Linked DNA regions of Struthio camelus. The protein of the gene in region 1 interacts with the protein of each later gene in a biochemical or structural test. Links are inferred from orthologs where the notes say so. Each region holds a gene or a part of one and is shown in the gene's direction. Other genes may lie near its edges.

The links.
Region 2: the proteins of CACNA1A (region 1) and CACNB4 form a complex in vitro, tested with the Homo sapiens proteins (2 studies listed by BioGRID). The link is inferred for Struthio camelus from reciprocal best matches to the Homo sapiens genes CACNA1A and CACNB4.

Annotation. Positions count from the first base shown.
Region 1 is NC_090972.1:4,422,048-4,430,348, reverse strand, and holds the start of CACNA1A (voltage-dependent P/Q-type calcium channel subunit alpha-1A), read left to right. Parts: upstream 1-4,889; 5' UTR 4,890-5,277; coding exon 5,278-5,573; intron 5,574-8,301.
Region 2 is NC_090947.1:44,648,835-44,657,425, reverse strand, and holds the start of CACNB4 (voltage-dependent L-type calcium channel subunit beta-4), read left to right. Parts: upstream 1-5,506; 5' UTR 5,507-5,596; coding exon 5,597-5,605; intron 5,606-5,748; coding exon 5,749-5,832; intron 5,833-8,591. UniProt on the Homo sapiens protein: The beta subunit of voltage-dependent calcium channels contributes to the function of the calcium channel by increasing peak calcium current, shifting the voltage dependencies of activation and inactivation, modulating G protein inhibition and controlling the alpha-1 subunit membrane targeting.

The DNA of each region.
Region 1 (8,301 bases):
GCCTCTGATCCGGGCGGCGGGAGGCGGCCGCTTCGGCACGGCGGCACGGCGCTGCCGAGCGCCGGGGGGGCTCGTTCGCCCCCGCGCCGCCCGCCGGGCCGGGTCTCCGGCGGCGCCTGGCCGCTCCGGCTCCGGCGCGTCCCTGCGTGCCCCTTGCGCCCCCCTGCTTGCCGCCCCCCTCCGCCGCCCGCAGCCCCTCGCGTCTCAGAAATGGGGTTTTGTCCCGTCGCGCTGCCCGAGGCTCCCTCTGGCGGCTACGGGCCGCCGGGAGGCGGGAAGCGGGGTGCGGGATGCGGGATGCAGGATACAGGATGTGGGAGGCGGGATGTGGGATACGGGATGCAGGATGCAGGATACAGGATGTGGGAGGCGGGAGGCGGGATACGGGATGCAGGATGCAGGATGTGGGAGGCGGGAGGCGGGATACGGGATGCAGGGAGCAGAATGTGGGAAGTGGGATGCAGGATACGGGATGCAGGATGCGGGATGTGGGATACAGGATGCAGGATGCTGGATGCAGGATACAGGATGCGGGATGCGGGATGCAGGATGCAGGATGCGGGATACAGGATGCAGGACGCAGGATGCAGGATGCGGGATGTGGGATACAGGATGCGGGATGCAGGATGCGGGATACAGGATGCAGGATGCGGGATGCAGGATGCAGGATGCGGGATGCGGGATACAGGATGCAGGATGCAGGATGTGGGATACAGGATGCGGGATGCAGGATGTGGGATACAGGATGCGGGATGCAGGATACGGGATGCAGGATGCAGGATGCGGGATGCAGGCCGGTGCAGCATCGCCGCCCTTTGTTCCCTCGGCTCCAGCCACATCCGGGTGCCGAGGCCGCGGCCGCCCTGGGATTCCCCCCCCCCCCCCCCCCCCAGCAAGGAGCCGGCATCTCCCACCTCGTCCCGGACATTGGAAACACCGTGGACGCTGCGAGTCTCCGGGCCGGAGCCACCAGCCGGGAGCGGGACGGGCGCGAGCAGGACCGTGCACGGTCCCCGGGGCGCCCTGCTCCTGCCGCCGCCGCCCGCTTCGGCCTTTTATCCCGAAGGAAAAGCTGGGCTGAGCGCGTGCAGGAGGAGGGAGGGAGCGGGACGCCTCTCGGGCCCGTCCCGGGCTCCCTCCTAACCCGCTTCCCTCCTCTCCCGCGGCATCATCCCGCTTCGGGGACGTTCCTGCCTCTCTCCGAGCGAGCCGGCGGCTTCCCCTCTGCCTTTCCCCGGCGGCCTTTTCCCCTCTCCTGTTTTCTCTAATCTCCGAGAAATCCCCCCTTGTCGCCCCGGAAATGCAGCCGGATCCGGCGCGGGGCTGGTCTGCACCGGGCCGGGCGCGGGACCGGCGCGGGGCGAAGGGATGCTCGTGCGCAGTGCGGGCTGAGACCTGCTGCGCTCGGTGCATGCGTGGGAGACCCAAAGCCGGCCCCCGGGGAGCCTCTCCTGGCGGCGGCGCCGGCTCCTCCGGGCTCTTTTTTGGGGTTTTTTTCGGCGAAGCCGGGCGGACGGAGCCGGGAAGCGCTGAGCGAGGGTTGCTGGAGGCGCGCGCTGATAAGGGCCGCCGGGGCGGGCGGCGGTGCTGCCGAGGGCGCCTGTTCCCTTTGCGCGGGTCAACGTGACTTGTCAAACCGGGCGCCGGCAGCGTAATTACATCGCCGGGGAGCAGCTCGGCGGGCAGAGGCCGCGGGAGCAGCGCCAGCGCCGGCGCCGTCCCCGCGTCGCGGCTGTTCCCGGGCTCGGGCGCGTGGTTGCGCGCCGCCTCGTGCGCGGCTGTGCGTGCCATCGTGCACAGCAGCCCTGCGGCCGTGCACGGTCGCGCCTGTGCCTGCGCGCGTCGGCCGTGCAGTTGTGCCCGTGCTCGTGCGTGCGGTTGCGCGCAACAGCCACGGGGGTCACGGCAACGGTCGTGCGTGCGCTTGTGCACAGCACCGTGTGGGTGTGCGTGCGGTCGTGCGTGCGCTTGTGCACAGCACGACATGGGTGTGCATGCAGTTGTGCGTGCGGCTGTGCACATCAGGTGTGCAGTTGAGCATGGGGTCAGGCGTGCAGCTGTGCACAGCACCACGTGGTTGTGCATACAGTCGTGCGTGCAGCTGTGCACAGCACCACGTGGTTGTGCATGCGGTTGTGCACACAGTCGTGCGTTTGGTCCTGCACGTTGGCCGTGTGGTCACGCAGTTACGCATGCAGCCGTGCACGCGCACGCGCGCGTTGGCCATGCCGCCATGCAGTCTTGCACACGCAGCCGTGCGCGTGGGTGTGCGTGTCGGTCACGCACAGTGTTGCGCGCGCTCGTGCACGTGGCCACACGTGTTGGTCGTGCACATCACCGTGCATGTGGCCGTGCACATTGACCTCTCGGTCCTGCATGCACTGTTGCACGCGCTTGTGCACAGGCTTGTACTCACTGACATGCACATGCTCTTGCTCGCGATTGCACGCTGACGTGCACACACAGACATGCACGTGCTCTTGCACACGATCGCACACCAATGCATGCATGTGGACACACACATGCTCCCGCACGCGACTGCACACCAGCACACGCACACGGACACGGACATGTGCCTGCTCTCGCACGCGATCGCACGCCGGCACATGCACAAGGACATGCGCCTGCTCTTGCACGCGATCGCACGTTGCACGCGCACATGAACACGCGCCCGCTCTCGCACACAATTGCACACCGGCATGCACATGCACCTGCTCTGGCACGCGATTGCACACCAGCACACGCACACACGAACACGCACCCGCTCTGGCACGTGATCGCACACCAGCACGCACACACAAACACACGCCCGCTCTCGCACGCAATCGCACACCAGCACAGGCACACACGAACACGCGCCCGCTCTCGCATGCGATTGCACGTTGCACGTGCACACAAACGTGCCCGCTCTAGCATGCGTTTGCACACCGGCACACACATGCACCCGCTCTCGCACGCGATCACACACCAGCACACGCACACACAAACCCGCGCCCGCTCTTGCACACAATTGCACACCGGCACGCACATGCACCCGCTCTCGCACGTGATTGCATGCTGGCACGTGCACACACAAACCCGCGCCCACTCTTGCACGCAATTGCACACCGGTACGCACATGCACCCGCTCTCGCACGCGATCGCACACCAGCACACACGCACACACATGCACCCGCTCTTGCACGCGATTGCACACCGGCACACACATGCACCCGCTCTCACACGCGATCGCACACCAGCACACACATGCACCTGCTCTCGCACGCGATCGCACACCAGCACACACGCACACACATGCACCCGCTCTCGCACGCGATCGCACACCAGCACACACGCACACACATGCACCCGCTCTCGCACGCGATCGCACACCAGCACACACATGCACCCGCTCTCGCACGCGATCGCACACCAGCACACACGCACACACATGCACCCGCTCTCGCACGCGATCGCACACCAGCACACACATGCACCCGCTCTCACACGCGATCGCACACCAGCACACACATGCACCCGCTCTCGCACGCGATCGCACACCAGCACACACGCACACACATGCACCCGCTCTCGCACGCGATCGCACACCAGCACACACGCACACACATGCACCCGCTCTCACACGCGATCGCACACCAGCACACACGCACACACAAACCCGCGCCCGCTCTCGCACGCCATCGCGCGCCGACACGCACCGGCGGGTGACCCTGCCGGGCCTCGTGCGCGCACCGCAGCGCGGCCTGGGGACCGGCCGGGGCAGGATGCGGCCCCCATTGGTCCCGGCCCCGTCATGTGCCGAGCCGGGGCCGCGGCTCTGAGCTTGCATTAAATTGATGAGTTGCTGCACGTTAGAGCTCAACCTGCCAGTGAATCAGAGCCCTTTTTTTTTTTGTTCCCTTCCCTTTCCCCCCCTCCTCCCTCCCTCCCTAACACCGGTCTTATTTTAGCTATAACCCAAGAGGAGGAGGAGGAGGTGGAGGAATACAGGGCAGGGGAGGGGGGGAAAGGGGCACAAGCAGCTGCGCGCCGCTGCCGCATGCGGGGAAGCCTCCCGAGCGCGCGGTGGATGGGACCTACTTCTCGCCGCTCTGCCCCGGCCGGATTTTACAGGATTTCTTTGCTGCATTCAACTCCGAGATGATGCGGGAGTGACCCCCCCCCCCGCCCCGCGGCGAGCCCCCCCCCCACGCGCGCCCAGCCCCCGTGGAGCCCCCCCCGCGCCCGGCGCGATGCACGCGTGAAAGCAGGCACCTGGGCGAGGCGGCGGCGGCGGGGGGGGGGCGCCTCTTTTTTGGTTTTTCGTTTCTTTTTGGGGCCTTTTTTTTTTTTTCCTTCCCCCCCCCCCGGCTTTTTAATACCTGGCTGCTTTTTTGTCCTCCGCCGTTGCGATTTGCGGCTGCTTTTGGGGGGGGGGGCGGGCGAGGCGCAGTGGGGGGCACTGATTTGAGCTGGGTGGTTTCTTTTTTTGGGGGGGGGAAAGGGGTGGGGGGGCTAGATTTTTTTTTTTTGCCCCCCCCTCCTCCTCCTTCTCGCTCCGCTCGCCGTCCCGGCTTGGCCCCCCCCCCTCCCCACCCCGTTCCCGGCGCGACCATCGCGCCGCTGGTGCATTTTTTTCCCCCGGGTGCCGGTGCCCCCCCGCCGCCCCGGCGAGGTCGGGCTGAGGAATTGGTGCATTGGGGGCTTTGGGCGCGCGGGGGGGCGGCGGAGAGGCTGCTGCCCTGGCTCTCCCGAATCGCAATTAGCCCCGTGGCCGTCCCTCGCCCGGGGGGGCGGCATTTTCCCCTTTTAACACCTCGCTCCCGTTTTTTTTCCCCCTTTCCGCCGGTGGTGCATTGGGGGATTTTTTTTTTTTTTTTTTTTGGGAATCGCAGCCCTCCCCCCGCCCCCCCCCCGGCTTCCTCGAAAAGGCATCGGCTGGACGGAGAACCGGGGCGCTTGGTGCATTGAGGAGTTCCCTTTTTTTGCTTTTTGGTTTTTTTTTTGGGGGGGGGGGCTCTTTTCCCCCCCCCTTCCCTGGCAAAACCCCCGTTTTTTTCAGGGGTGGTGCACTGCTGCCCCCCCCCCCGCCTTTCCCCTCCCCGGAGCGGGTTGCATCGGCTCCTCTCCTGCAAGGGGAGGAGAGACGAAGGATGTCCAGGCTCGCGGCCGCCTGAGCGGCCCCCCCGGCTCCGCCAGGCCCCCCGCGCCGCGCCGCCGCCGGCCCATGGGATGTGATGAGCTCCTCGCCGGCAGCATCCTCCGCCGCGTAACCCCTGGCCCTTTGCTCTTTGCAGGATGGCTCGCTTCGGAGACGAGGTGCCGGCCCGCTACGGGCCGGCGGGCGCCGCCGGGGCAGGAGGCCCCGGGGCTGCGCCGGGCGCTGGCGGGCGGGCGCCGGGGGGCACCCGCCCGGGCGGCCCCCCCGGGGCGCAGAGGATGTACAAGCAGTCGATGGCCCAGCGAGCCCGCACCATGGCTCTCTACAACCCCATCCCCGTCCGGCAGAACTGCCTGACTGTCAACCGCTCCCTCTTCCTCTTCAGCGAGGACAACGTGGTGAGGAAATACGCCAAAAAGATCACCGAATGGCCATATCCTTTCTGGGCAGGGGGACGGGACGGGGTGGGACACCCCGCTGCATGCCCCCCCCAACCCCGGCGCAGCGCCTCTCGGGGGGCTCGCGGCCCGGCGCCGCTCCGGGGTGTCCGGGCGCCTCCGTCGATGCTGCGCTCACCCCCGGCACCGGCCCCGGGGCTGCCGGATGCGTCCGTGTCCCCTCCATCCCTCCGGGTGGGCTGCGTTCCCGCGCCCCGCTCCCGCTCCCGGGGTGCCCGTTCCCGCGGCGTGCCGGCCGGGCTCGGGGTGCCCCCAGCCTCGGGGTGCCCCCGGCCTCGTGGGGCCACCGTGCCCCCCGGCCGGGCTGTGTTCCCGCGCCCCGATCCTGCTCCCGGGGTGCCCGTTCCCACGGTGTGCCGGCCGGGCTCGGGGTGCTGGCTGGGCTTGGGGTGCCCCCGGCCTCGTGGGGCCACCGTGCCCCCCGGCTGGGCTGCGTTCCTGCACCCCGCTCCCGCTCCCGGGGTGCCCGTTCCCACGGTGTGCCGGCCGGGCTCGGGGTGCTGGCTGGGCTTGGGGTGCCCCCGGCCTCGTGGGGCCACCGTGCCCCCCGGCCAGGCTGCGTTCCCGCGCCCCAACCCCACTCCCGGGGGACCGTTCCCGCGGCGTGCCGGCCGGGCTCGGGGTGCCCCCAGCCTCGGGGTGCCCCCGGCCTCGTGGGGCCACCGCGTCCCCCCGGCCAGCAGCGGGGCCACCCAGGCTGCACCGGGGCAGGGTGGGGATGGGGGGGGAAGGCGCGATTTTTGGAGAGCGGCCCAGGACTGCGCCGGCCCCGCCGGCTCGCAGCCGCCTCCGGGCATCGCCGCCAGGCCTTTGCCACGGAAGCGGCTCTCGCCAGCCGCGGCGGGACCCGAGAGGACAGCGCTGCTTCGTCCCCGGCTCGGCTTGGGTACGTAGCGCCCGTCCGCGCGCTCGCCTGATCCCCCCCCCCAACCCCGGTGCCCGTCCGCCCCGAACGTGCCGGCCGGGAGAGACGTCGGAGCGCCGGGCCGGCCAAGGGCCGGTTTTCCGCGGCGGGCACCGGCGGGGACGGGAAACGCCGCCGGCGAGCCGCGGCCTCGAGCGGGGCGCTCGCTCCAGCTCCCGGCGCCTTTCGCCCCGGCTCGGCATCGCGGGGATCCGGCCCTGCCTGGCCGCCCGCCGGAGACTTCTTGGGGATTCGGGAGGGTTTGGAGAGTCATCGCTGCCAGCCGCCCGACTGGGCATGTGCGCTGCAGCGCGCCCCTACTATGGCAGTGGGTGGCGGAGGGATGAGTCCGGCGCGCAGGAGAAATGTCCGCCCGGCTCCTTCCTCCTCACCCCAGGGGCTGCCGGCGCCGGGCGGACGGACAGACGGACGGACGCCCCGGCGCGGACCCCCCCTGCATGGCGCCGGCGGGTTTTTGCTGCGATGCCGGCGGGTTTTGCTCGGCCGCTTTCCCGGCCTGCCGTTGCCCGCGCAGCTCCCCGGGGCTCGCCGGCGCGGCGTTCCCCCTCCGTGTGCCGAGCAGCAGAGCCGTGTCCCCCCCCCCGGACCCTGGCACCCAAACGCCCCCAAAGGCGCCGGGGGCCGAGCCAGCCGGGCGGCTGCTCCCATCTCCCAGATCTCAGCCCTCGCCCGAGAGGCAGGAGCCAGTCCTGCCCTTAGGAAAAGCTTCCGGCTTTGAATGCAGCTCCCCCCCGTGCCTCAGTTTACCCACCTGCGTAACGGGCTCCCCCGCGCGCTGCTGGCGGGGCCGCAGGCCAACGCTTCCCTCCGCAAGCGGCCGCGGGTCCCTCCTCTTCCTCCCGGGGCCCCGTGGAGAGGGGCCGGGACGTCTCCGGCCCTCGGGCTGCCCCTCGCCTCGGGAAACGGGGTCTCCGTCCAAACAAGAGCCCCCGGGCGGCCCCGCGCTCCCGCTGCCGCCCCGGCCCCGCGCGGCTCAGCCGGCCTCGCTCTCGCTTTTTTTTTCCCCTTTTTGTTCTTTTTTCCCCCTTTTCCCGCGTGTCGCCCGCAGCCCCGCCGCCGGCCGCAGCCTCGGGCCCCGCTCGGCGCCGGGAGCCTCCGGCAGGGCCGGCACCTCCGGACCCGCGCGGGGGCTGCCGCCGGGGACCAGGCCGAGCGCCGGCCCCCGGCTGCATCGCTCCCAGGTGTTTGTGGATGGCGAGGAGCCGTGCCGGAGAGCCGAGGTGTGCCGGGTAGCCGAGGTGTGCCGGATAGCCGGGCTATGCCGGGTAGCCGAGGTGTGCCGGATAACCAAGGTGTGCCGGATAGCCGAGGTGTGCCGGATAACCAAGGTGTGCCGGATAGCCGGGCTGTGCCGAGTAGCCGAGGTGTGCTGGATAGTGAAGCAGTGCCGGGTAGCCGGGCTGTGCTGGATAGCCGGGCTGTGCCGGGTAGCCGGGCTGTGCCGGATAGCCGAGGTGTGCCGGATAGCCGAGGTGTGCCGGATAACCGAGGTGTGCCGGATAGCCGGGCTGTGCCGGATAGCCGAGGTGTGCCGGATAGCCGAGGTGTGCCAGATAGCCGGGCTGTGCCGGATAGCCGAGGTGTGCCGGATAGCCGAGGTGTGCCGGATAGCCGGGCTGTGCCGAATAGCCGGGCTGTGCCAGATAGCCGGGCTGTGCCGGATAGCCGAGGTGTGCCGGATAACCAAGGTGTGCCGGATAGCCGAGGTGTGCCGGATAACCAAGGTGTGCCGGGTAGCCAGTCTGTGCTGGATAACCAAGGTGTGCCGGGTAGCCGGG
Region 2 (8,591 bases), on another chromosome or scaffold:
GTACCTACAGAAATACTTTTAAAAAAATAAGATTTTTACACTGCTGCCTATTAAATCTTGGGGAAAGCTACAGAAAACTCCTGTTTTCTTTCTCTTGAAAGAAACGAGAGAGCTCTAGCTAAAAGCCCAGCTGTTTCTTCCTTGGCAGAGGTGGGATTGCAAGCACAAGTTTCCTTTGCGAGAACAGGCAAGGGATGATCGCAGCTGACTGTGTGGGCCCTCTGTGGATGCAAGGTGCTGAGCCAGAAACTTGTATAGAATCTCTTTTCCTTTTTTGATGTATTTAGAAGTGAAGGAGTATACTAGTTCCTTGTGGTAAAGGAGGGACTCAAGAATGTTTGAAACTTAAGACTGTGAGAATCTGCCTTGTTCCCCTTTAAATGGGGAGCAAAGTGGAGCAGAAATCATGTTTATGGGACCAGGGAATTCTTGCCTCTTTTGGATTTCCTTTCTTTGCCACCATTTACATGTCTGAATGCTGACTACAGTCAGAGAAAAACTCTCAAACCATTTGAAACAGGTGTCTTTTAACTCGCAGTATGTATAGACAGAAGAAGTGCTTTACCAGTGGGACTGTGTTCCTCCTTTAATATAAGGAATGGGTGCATGTTTAAAATGACAGATGTGTCTTTAAAAAAGGATTTGCCTTGGAACCGCAACTGTAGCGTTTGGTGGATAAGAAAAGAAATCTAAGACTTCCTTCCCTGATGCACTTTTTTAATGGGTGGGTGGGAGGAGGGGCTGGTTGGTTTGTTTTTGTGGGGTTTTGTTGGGTTTTTGCAGGGGGGAGAGGAGTAGATGAACTGAAGTCTCTTTCAGGAACATGGGATTTCTTTCTTTTACTCCTTCCACCTCTGGAAAAATCACTTAATTTTCCAATTTACGTACTCACTTTAGCATGGTCATGTTTATACGTGTTTTAACTATGTTATGATGAATAATAATCTTTAGACTGGGAAAATAATGGGAGCAAATCACTGATTTAAACAAAAATCTTGATTAAATGCAGGAAACTCCAAAAATCTCCAAATTAAAGAGTGTTTGGTGTATCATTTTTCTACCAAATGAGAACAGTTGTATTATAGACTGAGTAATAAAAATTACCCTTCACTCAGTACCACCTCCATTTCTTTCACATTTCATTAAATTATTTAGTATCATGACCTTATTCATTTGCAGCTTTATGCTTATGCAATAAGGTACCTGCTCTTTGAATCATTTTGTATTTAAATTTGTGCAATTGGAAGGAAGCTTTTGTCTTTCCTTTTGACATGACATTAATTTGTCTTTATCCTTCCCCGTGAAGTAGCTTAGTATAAATAACACATGTTGCAATACTGAAGTATTTTGATAACTTGTTCCTTGTGTTCTTTAAAAAGAAGAATTAATTTCAATGCTGCTGTTCAAAATTCTTATCGTTGAGGAACTTTTTTGTAAAGAGTTTACTTTGTTCCAAACTGGTATGTAATCAAACTAAATCTTGCTATCATTTATGTAGAGTATCCACGTTTATTAGTAAAGGAGATAAAGGTAGGTATTTTTATTGGATTCAAAGATTTGATCCAACGGAAATATTGAGCAGTATCTTAAATTGCGAGAGCGAGACAGATGTGATTTGATTACATTTAGTTAATTATTTTATGAAATATAAATAATGTATATACTCATTTGTCTGAGATTTTCTACGCAGCTACATATAAGCATACTGTTAAAGCCTGAAATTTTATAAAAGCAGGATCTGCCATTCTGTCATCTCTTATATTCCTTATTCTGTGATATGCAACTTGTAGATAGTGTAAAATAATTTAATTATTAAAATTGTGTATTTAGAGGGTTTTGGTGTTAAAAGGATCTGTTTTTTCTCTTCATACTTCTATACATTATCATATTTATTTTTAAGGCCTGATTGTAACGGAACATGCTGCCAAAGGATTTATCTAACTTCAGATTTCTACATTAGGTTTATACCTACTGTTTTATATCAGGAATCAATGGTAGATAACTTCTGCTTTTTCATATAAACTCTTATTGTTTAACATAGAAGTTTGTGCAACTTTATAATGAGAATTTTATTGTAATATATTTGTTTCATGGGTGTTGAAAATATCAATACTAGATAAACTTTCTTCTAGTATGAGTTTGCAAGCTATTATGTCTAAGTTATAGTCCGCTGAAAGCAACAATTTAATTTGTCTTTAATATCACCATGCAGAGATGTGTTTTGGGAAATCTTAATGTTTCATATAGCCTTGATGTGACTTAGGCATTGTCTATTTAATTTGTTATAGAAATTACAATATTAAAAAATATAATGGGTTCTGTAACAGGTAAACCTTAAAATAATGTTCTGTGTTCATTTTACTTTGGCTTTTCTTTGTAAATGTTGACTCGTGGAATAGCGTAATCCTTCTGAAGGCTGTCCTTTAGCAAGGAGAGCTGGGGGGTCATGACTGTGCTGCAATCTCTTAGTCGTTATTTTCTGATAGGAAGATTTTTCTTTTTTTAATCTATGCATCTTTTCTAAGAAATAATAGGCACTACTCTTGCTTACACTGAACACTGTGATGTGTCTGTTGAATGAATAACTTTTTAGAATTTGTGGCTCTTACCAGTTACATTTTACATGAAGCTAACTGAAACTGTTTTGAATTGGAAAAGATGAAAAATGAAGGAAAGAGAAATGGGGCAGGTTCTGAGCACTCTTGAATTTTCTGTTAGAGTCACTGGAATTGTAGCATCTGCCGATCTGCTAGCTAGTGATCTGGCCCCCAAGGTTACACCATGCCGGAACTTTAAATTCAGATTAAGGTTCCACTTCTGTTTTGTCTGGGGTTTGAGTTGAACATCTGTTGGTTAATAGATGTATCGCAGTTCTTGCAGAAAATCATCCTAAAGAGTTTGCAGCCTTAAGAGTAAAGGGATGTGTTTTATTGGAGTACCCATCTGGCCTCTTGTCTGCAATGTGTGTGCATTGCCTTGTGTGAATAAAGCAAATTTGTTTAACAACACAGGTGAGGAGTTTTCTGTTCATGGCATGGTGAAATCCTTGCCAGAGAGAAGAGGCAGAGGCGACACGAGACGCTGCTGGCAGCGGATGGTTGCGTGAATGTCGCGGCTCCGGCCCTGGCGGACCCTGCTGTGCCCTCCGCTGGCTCTGCCCTCCCCATATTGGCGGTGGCACGTCGGCCACCAGCTCCAGCTCATCCTCTTCCAACCCGGTATCAGCAAAGCTAGTGCTCTGGAAGAGACTCCTTATTTCGGAGCTGTGCTACGTTCCCCTCTGTTGATGAGCTTTTCTAATTGGGAACCAGTGCTCTGTTACCTTTAATTGCCTATAAGCTAGGCTTAGTGTGCGAGAGTGACAATACTGCTACATGTTGGGTGTTAATTGTGGAATCAAAGAGGAACAACTGATAAATACCAGTGCTACTACACTTCACCACAAATGACGTGTTCATATAAACAAATACACTGCTCTTAGGATGTGCAATACAATCAAATTTTAAGAGCCACGATTCATTACGGCTTACAGTGGGTTTTCAAGGAGACGCTAAACAGTCTATCCAAAAATATTTCTAGCACGCACAAAATAACTCCTTATGCTTTGAAGATATCCTCTACTAATGCTGTGAATGGACTCCAACACAATGCATGCACTTGGTAACAACTTATATTAATTATTATTCAGATATTTAAACCATTGTATTCCACCATTCATTTACAACATCCTTTTGAGTTACTAACCCCCATGGCTTCATTTCAGGTCACGTTACACAGTAAATCTACATCTTACCAAAGCAAAGCACTTACTAAATTATTGGCAAAAGCAATACTTAAGCCTTGTTTTTCCTTTCAAATCTCAGCCTAGACATTGCTATGTCTTGCTAAAATGAGAAGGTGACGTGCTTAATTTTCTGGACAGTATCTTAATTTGGGAAGCCAGCCATGTACTCAGGCATGCTAATGTTTAAAGAAAAGTATCCTTCCTAGTGCTGGTTTAATGATTAAACAATTTAAAAAAATCTAATTTAGACTAGAGCGTTCATGACCCACATTCGTCTTGGATAAAGAAACCAGGCTGCCTAATTTCACCCAAGGCATTTGCAAAAATCTACAGTTTGTGTCTACAGCGGGAGAGAAAGACGTGTTTGCTGTGTGCTGCAGGCGTTCCCCAGAGGGGCGCGTGCGCTGCAGGTAGCCGGTGGAGATCACTTTTCAGAGCCTGATTTGGGCCCGTCGCTCAGACGTTTGCCTTGACGCTGCTTTGGTTTCACGCGCCGGTTTCCTTAGCTGCACGAATCCTTGCTGAAAACTGAAGGCTGCAGCGAATGCCTGGGAAGGGATGGCCTACAAACGTAGATAAAGTCGTCACCCCGTGCATTAGAGGAAATGGTAGCGCTTTGATACGTCTGTACGCTTTCCTTCTCTATCCGTTTCCTGGTTAGTTGAAAAAAAATTTTTTTTTGGAGAGGGGGCTGCTCAACGCTGCTTGGTTTAACAGTGAGATCAGCTCATTTCAGTGGGAGGTGCAAGCTACTTGTAGTTAAAGCACAGGAGTGGGAAGCAGGAAAGCCAGGTCCTGTTTCCAATTCTTCCCCAGATTTCCTGCTAAACTTCACGTTAATCACTTAATCTCTGGTTTTATTTTTATTCCTCTGCAAATTGCAGCGCTCTTGATGCATGGCAGTCGGTGCAAATTAGCGCTGTGACGGGTGCTCGGGAAGTGCTAGGTGGCACCGCACGGGAGGCCCAAGGGTGCCCTTTTAAACGGCTGGAATGGTTTCAGCGCCGTTTCAGGTTAAAGAGGTCAAACTGGGTTCACAGTCCAGTACCGGTCCGTAGCATCTGCAGCCTGAGTCTGCCAAGGTGCCGTGCGTGGGACGTGGCGCAACGCAGCTCTCCGGGACGGATGGGGACGATCACCGGTTTGCGCGGCAAAATGAACACCGTCACGTTAGCTACGGCGATGGCCGTTAGTTTACGAGCCCGAATAAATTGCACGGCTTCGCCTAAGCAGACGACGCGGGGGGCTCCCGCCCTGCGCCGAGCTCCGCCAACCTCACCCCGGCTCAGGGCTCAACCGCAGCCCCGGCGTCGACGCTCAGCCGCTATCGCCTCGGCCGGCCCGGCCGCTCCCCCGTGCCTCGGGGACCCCCGGTTTCGGCTGCCCCCCTTCCACCCAGCCAGGGGAAACGGCTTCTCCGCGTGGAGGGGTGCGGGGGTGTCGCCTTGGCGGGGGCCGCTGCCGCCGCTGCCTCAGGGGCCGCGGTTCCCGCCTCGGGCGGCGCCGCCTCAGGGCCCGCGGTTCCCGCCTCAGGGGCCGCCGCCGCCGCCGCCTCAGGGGCCGCGGTTCCCGCCTCAGGGGGCGCCGCCGCCTCAGGGGCCGCGGTTCCCGCCTCGGGCGGCGCCATCTCGCGAGCCGCCCCCCGAGGGGCCGCGCCGCCGCCGCCGCCGCCGGAGGAGCCGCCCGCCGCTCCCGCCCCTCAGGTAGCTCTGCTCCCGCCCTGCCTCCTCCCTCCTCCTCCTCGCCCTGCCCCTCGGCGCGCTCGCTCGCCGGCAGGCAGCAGGCAGCCCCGCCGTGCCGATCCTCGCTGTCATGGCTGCGGTGGGTGCCGCTGCGTGGGGGCGGCCGGGCCGGGTCGGGTCGGGTCGGGGATGGCAGTGCGGGGTGGGGTGGGGTGGGGTGGGGTGGGGTGGGGGGGTCAGGCCGGCGGCGCGACCCTCATGTCTTCGCCTTCCCCGGCGCAGGTGACGAGGGGCACGGCGACGCGCCGCAGCCGCCTGAAGCGCTCCGACGGCAGCACCACCTCCACCAGCTTCATCCTGCGGCAGGTGAGGCCGGGCGCGGCCGCGGGCCGGGCGGGCGCTGCCGGCGGAGCGGCGCGGAGCGGGGCGGGAGCTGCTCGGGGCGCCGCCGCCCCGGCCCCGGCCCGCGCCCTCGGGGCCGCCCCGCGCTGCGCCGCTCCGCGCCGCCCCGAGGGCAGGTCGGCGCCCGGAGCCCGCTGCCCCCACCGGGGGCTGCGCGCAGAGCGCGGTGTGCTTTTTGCGTCTTTATTCCTTATCTTGTGTGTGCGTGTGTGGTTTTGTCCCCCTTGAAATACCTAAAATCGCAACTTATTTTCATACCTGGGGTCAGGCCAGCGTGCTTCACGTTCCCTGCTAAAATCGTGTATATATGCACACGCACACGTATATATCGTATATAATCATATATATATATATTTATGTGTGTGTGTATATGTATGTGTATATATAAAATATATATATTTTTTCTCCTTGCACTGCCTAAAAGTCATTTGGGAGAGCGCTGGGGTTGGTTGCCTCCCCGGCTCGCGCCGCGGAGCGCCCCGGCAGGAGTTCCCGGCCTCTTTCCGCTGGCGGCGTTAGGGAACGGCGCTCTCCTGCGTGGTGAGCCAGCCTTAGTAAACCGTTGGAAACGACTTGAAGACGTCCACGGATAACGTTTATTTGGCTTATTGCGTAGCTTCGTTTTAAATCGCGAGCACAAATCTCCTTGAGGCAGAAGCAAAGTTAGCAAAGTTTGGGGATTTGGACTCGCTCGTGTTCTTCTTTTGTTGTGATCAAAGTGGTTTGTTTTTTTTTTTTTGTTTTTAAGCACTGAGTTTAGGAGGGTTTTTGTGCTGCTGTTAGCACTGCTTTGAGAGCCCCGCTGTGGGGGACCGTGCGGCTCGGGGCCTCGCTCTGTGCGCACAGAAGCTGTGGTTACTCGGTCTCCCTCTGTACCAGATTATCCCCGGCCTCTGGGGGAAGGTGAAACACAGGAGAGCTGGACTTAACGCTGTAAGCCCCGAGTGTCCAAGAATTGCGAGAGGGAGGCCTGAAAAAATCGGTCTGAAGTTAACGATTGCTTTAGAAATTAGGTTTATTGTGTTTGCCTTCCAGTTTCTAAGCCGCAGCTTGCGCTTTGGGCTGGTTTTCTAGGTATTCTCTGTAACAGCGAGGGCAGGAAATACACTTTTCGGAAAGCATGAAAGCTGGGACTTTAGAGGAGTTGAGGATTTTTGAAAAACATGCTTGCAATGCAGCGTCACGAGCACTGGCCTCTCGGTTTGGGGCTTCGGGCTTATTGGTGCTAATTATACAGTTGTCCTGCTTCCCCTGGCGTTGCAGGAGTAACGCTAGCAATTTAGATGAAGCCTCCTGCTAACAGTTACCTTTTCTTTTTCTGTTTCCAGTCTTAGCTCTTGTCTGTTAGCTCTCCCGCGATAAAGTAAAAACTAGTATCCTTAGTCTCACCGAAGCTTTACTTTCTCTCTTAAATGATGCTTGCTGGAGAAACTTTGTTAATTTGCTTTAAAAGTAAATGAGATGAACTGTTTCTGGAGATTATTCCTTTTTACGTACAAAAAATTTACCCGGAGCCTGAACCCGTGTACTCCACAGGCACCCAAATCTCTCAGTGCCATTCGCAGAAATTTAGGCAATTACAAGGAAAGCAGAACTGGGTCCTTGAAAAACCAGGGGCCGCGTGTCATGCGTAGAAGCGTGTTTCGCGCAGGACGTGGAAGTTGTCAGTTGGATTGGTCGGTCAGATAAGGAGATATAAATAACCCCGGCAAGGTTTCTGTGGTGTTCTCCGTTCATCCTTCCAGGCCAAGCCAGAATCGCAGCAATTTCCGACTGGCAGCCAGCCCTCGTTTCCAGCGGAGTCAAGCGCGACGTCACCGTAGCCCCAATGACAGTCGGGATCTGAAGCATAAGGTGGTCTCAGCCAAATAACTTAGAATTGCGACAGTGCTAAATAAATACGCAAGGCGTTTTATCCCCACTTTGTGCGTTGTGGCAGTTCAGCAGATGCTGTGGGCCCTTCTGGAGATGTCCCGAACGGTCTCGTCGGTTGTCAGAAGTGTCATTTGAAGGGGTGGGTTTTGGGTCATACTCGCATAGGCAATTACGGGCTTGATCTTCAGGTTTTTGACCTGCTGGGTTGGTTTCGTTTGTGATTTAGACGGACGCAGTGAGGATAACCGGCTTCACTCCGGAGCAGAGCACGCGGTGTCTGAAGCGCGAGTCCACGGCGTGGGGGTTTTGAGCCCTTGCGTGTGTGAGAGCTCACGCGAGTGCCCGGGAAGGCTGCTGCTTGTGGGCAGGAGCCTGGTTTTCAAACAAACTAGCAAGGTGTCCTATTTGAATTATGCTGCACCTAATACCTTTTTTTGGGGGTTCAAAATACGCTGAAACGTTTCCTGTGCTTGAGACCCTTCTGTGTGTCTCACGTTGCAGGGCTTGGGGTGCTCTGTAAGTACTGTAGTGTGTTTCAACGCATCCGTGTTTGCTGTCTTTGTTTCTGAAACCCCTCCTTGAAGGATTGCTTTATAGTAGATAATACACTAAAGCGGTGCTGCCATATACCTGAGGCCCTTCATTTTGGTCTAATTGAATTATAAATCACAGCTTGTACGTCTTGCATCCTACAGTTTACCGAATTCAAATGGGAACTGAAGTGCGCAAGGATTATTTAGTTGTCCTTTATAGAGCAAGCCCTGTGGTGGCCAAGGATCCAATTTCCAAACTTCAAGTGCTCGTGTGAATGGGCTGTACCTATTACTGTGCTCTTAACTTGCATGCTT